2 linked regions of the Arabidopsis thaliana genome follow. The protein of the gene in region 2 interacts with the protein of the main gene of each other region in a pairwise test. Each region holds a gene or a part of one and is shown on either strand. Other genes may lie near its edges. The genes, in order: WSIP2 and AT5G42530.

Evidence for each region.
Region 1: the proteins of AT5G42530 (region 2) and WSIP2 interact in a two-hybrid assay, tested with the Arabidopsis thaliana proteins (one study listed by BioGRID).

The regions. Positions count from the first base shown.
Region 1 is NC_003074.8:5,370,382-5,374,319, forward strand, and holds the start of WSIP2 (WUS-interacting protein 2), read right to left. Parts: upstream 1,909-3,938; 5' UTR 1,784-1,908; exon of another isoform or gene 1,552-1,783; 5' UTR 1,489-1,551; coding exon 1,409-1,488; intron 1,239-1,408; coding exon 1,059-1,238; intron 970-1,058; coding exon 856-969; intron 745-855; coding exon 586-744; intron 502-585; coding exon 324-501; intron 239-323; coding exon 118-238; intron 1-117. UniProt on the Arabidopsis thaliana protein: Transcription corepressor of Zinc finger transcription factors GAF1/IDD2 and ENY/IDD1 in regulation of gibberellin homeostasis and signaling.
Region 2 is NC_003076.8:17,004,060-17,007,319, forward strand, and holds AT5G42530 (uncharacterized protein), read right to left. Parts: upstream 1,452-3,260; 5' UTR 1,280-1,451; coding exon 1,174-1,279; intron 999-1,173; coding exon 889-998; 3' UTR 679-888; downstream 1-678.

The sequences.
Region 1 (3,938 bases), on a different chromosome or scaffold from region 2:
CTAATGATGATCTAAACAAGGGATGGCAAATTACATAACCGTATAAGCTAATATTTGGTAAACTAAATCTCCAACACACATATTTCAGAAGAATAAAATTAGTAGGGACAACATTACCAGCACTGTTGGGGGCACCTAAGCCGATAGGCCCAGCGGAAACAGTAGGGTGTTGTACCGATGGATTAGGCATCCATCCTGCAAGAGATGTTGTAAGAGGAGCTGGTGTTGGCTGAAATGGCTGAACAAGAGCATACAAACTAGCAAAGTTAAATTCATGTGCTAAAAACTAATCCAACAGAAGCTGTAATCTTAGAGCAACTTACACCGTGAGCACCTAATGGTGGGAAGCCTCCAACTTTAGGGACTGAACCCATTAAATGATTAGTTGTAGGGGAAGGAGTGTGTGCACCATTGGGATGCCCACACGTATGGTCAACAAATAGTGTTTTTATATCCGGGTTAGGCCTAGGATTCTTGCAAAGCTGATGTTGCCAGTTCAAACTATGATTCAGCAGAAGCAACGTTCAGTTAGTTGTTCCACCAAAAGAAAAACGGGAGCAAAAGTTAAAAAAACAAAGCTTGTACCTTTGATTTATTAAGGTTCTCAATCTAGAATTCTTCAAACTGGGAAATTGAAGTTTGTCTCGGAAGAGAGGATTTGCTTCAATCAGTTTTTTAAGTTCCCCAAGCATGATACCTCTTGCGGACTTAGTATCTCCATACTTGGAAAGCTGCTCATTTTCCCTTGAATTATTGCAAGTAAATGAAACATCAACACCACAAGCGCATGGTTTATAACAATCCAGTGGTCAATGAAACCATAAAAAAAAAGTGCTAAGAAAGTAAAGAATGTACCTGAAGTTAGTCAAGGTTAAAAGCATGGTAATCTCCTTAAAAAGCTCTTCGTTGAATGTCGAGAACACTTTCAACTCCTTAACAAGAATATCAACCGCCTTGGCATGATCTTTCCTATGGTAAAACAAAAGATGGGAAAACAAATCAATACTCAAAACCACACTTCAATTCAATAAAACTAAACAACACAAGTGAAACTTTACTTGTCAAGTGCTTCAAGGTACTTCTGCTTCCGAATCTCGAAAAATATTTTCATAGAGTATCTATTATCATCAACTTTAGTGAATCCAGAAAGATACTTCTCTACATCATCCCATTCACCAGCTGTTACACTATCTTCAAAGTACCTCATGTTGAAGAAAAAACCAGACTCTTTCTCCAACCTAATTAGTCAAAAAAAATATCCAAAGTTGTAACTGCTTCTGGATTAACATTGAAGAAATAATGCTAAATTACAAAATCAAAATTAATTAATCTTAATCCCTACTTTACTCTAATCCCGACAATCAAAGGAAGAGGGACCGCAATTAAACAATGATATAATATAAATTACCTGTGAACAGTATCTTTGAATTTCTCTTCATCGAGAAACTGAAGTATTAAAAACACGAGTTCTCTGCTGAGTGACGACATATCCTCTTCTTATTGCTCGCTCTCCGAAAGTAACAGATCGATCACAATACCACTCATGAACCACTAATCAAACACAAAGACACAAAGAGAGAATTAGGGTTTTATAAAAGAAAACATCTTCTTCACACCCCAAAAAAGGAAAGACAGATCTAAAAAAAAAAACGAAATCGATCGAATTCGAAAGACGAATCCCCCCAAACCCAGGTGGCACGAGATGTGCACGTGCGAGAATATACGAGAGAGGCTCCCGAGAAAGAGATTAAAGAAAAAAAGGAAAGTTTATAAATATAAATACCTGTTGAATTTTGACTTTGAAGAAGGAGAGAGACAAAGCAGAGAGGAAGAAGAGGAAGAAGAAGAAGAAGAAGAAGAAGACTTTGGAGAAGAGAGAGAGAGAGACGTGGGGGCTATTTATGGCGATAATTTCTGATGCTGTCTCGTTTTCGGAGTTTCCTTTTTTTTTTTTTGGATTTATTGCTTTTTATTTTAATTTATGAGTTTTTATGATTTAATTAATTTGTTTTTGTGTGGTCGTTGGGCTTCTATTTTTTTTAATAGAAGCGTGTATTTTGTAGATAGGAATTTACTCAAAAAGCTTAATCTCCCCACTATAATAAGTAACCTTCGTTTTAATTACTTTTTCTAAAATTTATTTTAATTTAATGTTTTCGTATTTTATTTTAATTTAAGTGACGTATTGATGTTGTTGCGAATCTAGTACAACACTGCTGTCTAATTTAATGCTCTCTCGTTAGGTTTTGAACGTAGCTGGGGATTTTTTTTTGTTTTTCAAACTATACATTAAAGTAGAGTATCTCATAATTGGTTTATTTCTGTTTCTGTATAGAATTTAGTGCCATTATATTATTTTTATGACATCAACTAACCGTCAATTAATATTGCAAATATTTTTTTTATGAATTAATTATTTAAGTAATGGATTTTGAAGTTTTTAATTTAGAGAAGAATAGCAGTAAATCAGATGTGATATTTTTATTTCCAGTTATGTAGTACGCAAATTAATTAAATTTTATTTTCTTCATCTTTTATTGTCAAAAAAACAAATTAAAGGTTTTATGGATAATTTACTTTTGGAAAAATATAAATCTTATGTGGTAACAAATAAGTGAATTTTACAAATGTGTATTCTTTCTTTTTTGTTATAGTAATTCACAGTAAAAAGTGGAGTTTTATTCTATAATACGGTTTGTAACGCATTTCCGTGAATATATTATGCTAATTTGTTAGGAATTTAAGAGATATGGCCTATTCACATGTTTAGTTTTGTTCTATTTATAAAAAAAAAAAAAATCAAAATTTATATTTGTACTTTATTTTTTTTCCCATGGATGTTTTGGCTAGTAATTACTATGCTACTTCAACAGTCCATCCACATTATGGTTCTAGTAGGAGTCATATCAAATCTTCTTACAAGTATTCCTACACCAGTATTGCTTACATTGGTTTGGGCTTTTAGGTCTAGATTATCGGGGGAATTGACTGGCCCAATTGCTAAACATGATTGGGAATCAATTTCGTCCCAAACATGTTTTCCTTGAACAATCACTTTGATGACAATGACACACCCAGACAGTTATCAATGACTGCAATTAATCAGCAAATGGTTCCATAAGCCCATCTGCCCATGTTGGTGAAGAAGCATCACCTCAAATATATAATTTTAAGATGAGAGAGCAAACATTCCTTTCTGATCGCTCTGAATATTTTAGCAATTTACTAAACGTAAAGTTATTTTCATAGCTTTAATTCAAAATTTCTGTAACTAGAGCTAGCAAAGAAACAAAGACTTGTGTTTAATATTATATTTTTGAAGAAGATAGTAGAATCTTCTGTCTATTTGTTTAATATTTGAAACATCGAATAAATGGTTTCAATGAGTTGTCCTGACTCATCAGCCGACCCTTAACAATGACTACAACAACTTCAAATTTTAAAACATCAAGTATCTTCAACAACATACCCTTTCCGTTTTATATTAAATAATTGGTAAAATCCAGCTTATTTATAATTATGTTATTTCTGTATAATACATTACAGAAGAGTAAAACAAAAACTTTAAAACGACACATATAATAAAAAGGAAAAATAAATAAATAGATATGAGAAAAAAATACAGTTGGAACTTAATATATACACTTTTATACAACGGATACTAACGTTCAAAAATTTTATTCTTCTTTTGGTTAAAGTTTTATTTATTGTTTATGACTTTTCCATATCAGCTTCTTTTTTAATACTATATATATATTTTTAAAATTTGTTTATTTTATGCGAGCAAAAAAAAAAAAAAGTGTGCAAAAATAATAAAAAAGAACAAAATAAATAGTCTACTTGTACTTCTGTCTCTCTCTCTCTCTGTTTATCAATCTCACATCGAGACGAAATTAGAGCTACTCAGACTTGTTCTATTAAACTGTTACCTTCTCCAG
Region 2 (3,260 bases):
AATAAAATTGTTTAGTTGATTCACACTATTTTGTCCATTTAAACTCAAATTAAATTTGAGTCATGATCCAAATGTTTATACTGTTTGCTATCAATCAAGTTTTGAAATATATTGTAGTCATATAAAAAGTATATATATATATATATATATCGGTGTTTCCATCCTGAAGACAAATCTTCTCCTACTACGTTTACAGAAGTGTTTCAATGTATGTTTGATTACATTGCTAGGCTTTTTGTTATGGTTCGACCTCGGAAGCTCTTGTTTGTGGCTATTGGTGAGTACTATTACATTATATGCAGTGTTTTCGTCTCATTACATTGTATGAATTTTGGGCTTTACAATTTCGATATCAGAAAAAGCAGATCGGCACTAATAGAGAAGATAATAGTCTAAGTTAAATCGTCATTGTCTTAGCTGAGAAATGCTCTATTACGTAAGGCCCGACAAAGGGTCCCAGATGGACAATGATTGTGGGAAATAATGTCATTCCCATAATTTGGACAAATAAAAAGTTAGATCAGTCCCTTGTGAGATTTGGGAAGAAGTCGTCATTATTCATTCCATCAAAGGCTTAAATGAACTAACCATATATTTCATATTTTCACATTTATTTTTTAATGAATATATACTAGGCTTTGTGGTTCAGCCTGTCAGAGATGGATTTCTAGTGCCAAATGTTAAGAAATGTTTGAACGATCCAACGTAAGTAGAGAGAGGCGGTCTTAAACATAAAAGGACATGCAAATTTATTTATTCAAGCGACGGTTCGATAAAACTGTAAAATATGACAAACACATGCAAAGATAAACAAGGATAGAAACCACAAACCAAAGCACAATGTAAGAAACATGCACACGTTCACACGCATTCGAAGCTAGAGTGAAGTCAATGACCAGGTTCGAGTGTGCCTTTGAAAGACCTGTGGGGCGGAGGAGAAGGTAGGTTTGGATTTGTACAAAAGGGGATTCGTGGAGAACATCTGAAACGAGGAATCCCTGTAGGATGGTAAGTGTCAATTTTTCATCATTTCACTGCTCATTAGTCTATTCAAATGCGGACAAACATTAAATCAAACCAAAATCAATATTAATTAAACACAACTAATAATAATAAACCTAACTAATAAACATAAAATGATACTAATGACCTCGGGACATCTAAAAGACTCACTTTGTTTCTGGGCTTCCTCTTGTGCGCCAAGGGCTTTATCCATATGCGGAAACACAAGAAGAAGAAGGAGAAAGAGAGCCATGGAAGAGACCATAGAAGATGTCATCTTAATATTCCCTCTTATTTTGCTTATCAGTGCCACTCATGCTTATGCCTTTATATAGGCTAGGGAGATGTCAATTAAAGAAATTTAAAGATATGTTGGATAATATAGAAAGGCTAAAAGACAAAGAAGATTAGGAAACCTGTGGACAGTCTAGCGATAGACTTAAAGCTTATAGCCATCGACGACTTAGTTGTGTGTATCACTTATGAGTCTCGAAGTTTTGGTAGTATTATTCAGTGAAAAGTCTTCAATCACCAATTCGCCATGCATGGTTTGGTTTGTGGGACAAGTGCATTGCATTGGATTCTCTTCATATTATTTATCTTTTTATAAATTTCTAGTATCCTATATTTACTACGTCATATTCTGTAATTAGTTTAGGGGAGCATTTTTTAGATTAGAACTAAAGGAGCAAAATTTTCCCAAACAATTATTTACATATTTCATAGGCTTTTTTTTAAAAGGTTAGACGACAATAACCGATCACATATATAATTAAACCTTGGATTACATCCGGATATCCTTGATTTCAGATCTAGATTCGGATTATTTAAAAACAGATCAGATATCTTTAAATTTCGATTATCCGATCTATGACCAACACTAAGTATAATATCCTGAATTTTCTTATAGTAACTATATATGCAAAATTAATTTAAATCACAAAAGACTTTAAAATCCTTTCAAATTTCTTAAAATGTAGAATGCAATCAAATAATTTTTATTCATTAATCCGATATGTTCCTACCATACCGCATCATATGATTTATATAAATATATACTGTACTTATTTATATATATAAGTTCGAGAAATCTTCTAAAACACATTAAAATCATTAACAATCAAACCTGTTCTTAAAATAATTGTTTTCAATAATTTGATTTTGAATTTAAAAGAGTTTTTAAACACATGATTGAATAACACATGATACTTTAGAACATATCATTCCAAATGTGTGTTTGGATACACTCCCTAATTTACGAAGATCGTGTGTGATTATTTAATTAATTCTTATAAGAAAAAACTAGACCTCTGAATTTTGGTCTATTGGTCGTCCATAATATATTATGTCGTTCGGTGTCAGTTGCTGATAAAGTTACGTTTAATGCGCAAATCGCTTCTTCCAAAAGAAAGATTGAATTGCAATATTTGATTTATTTTACTCTTAACTATATTTTTTTTACTCTTAACTAGATTTTAATTGCAATATGATTTATTTTTTAAACTTAATATATATAAAAAATTTCAAACTGTATTTATTTATAAAATATTTATATTGGATAGTTTATAATTGTTATTAACTAACATTTTGCCAAACCCGTCATGCTAAAAAACTCTTTATTGTCTAAATTTTTTAACCAATGTAAGACGTTAAACTTACACATTTTCATCAACTAGATAATATATGTCCGTTTTTACAATTTTGAATCATAATATATGCACAATTTTTCTTAATAAAGATGATAAAAAATTCATAGTTTTAAATCTTAACCAAATCTTCTAAATATTTATATTTTTAAATAGTCGAGTTTTATATGAACAACCCAAATAAGATTTAATAAACAAAATAGATTAACGGGTCGGTAACAAATGTACCCAAATGCATTTTAAGTTTTTAACCCACCCATAAAAAGTGACTCCAAAAATACTTATAGAAATACTAAAAGATCACTATCCATCCACTAGACCAGTAAATGAAAGAGAAAAAAAAACATGAATTTTCAAATTTGAAACATTTTAATCCCCAACTTTAAAAATATATGGATTAAATCATTAAGTTTTTTTTTTTTAACTTAGCCATTTAACATATGACCACCATCCATTTATTTTAACAAATTAACATAATTATATAGGGTAAAGAAATGCTTTTCTTATTTTTGACATTCTAATTCTAGGGTAAACAAATACATTTATATCTAATTTCAATATTTAAGATTTTTTTTTTTAAATAAAAAAAATGATTGAATCTGGTTTAACCAA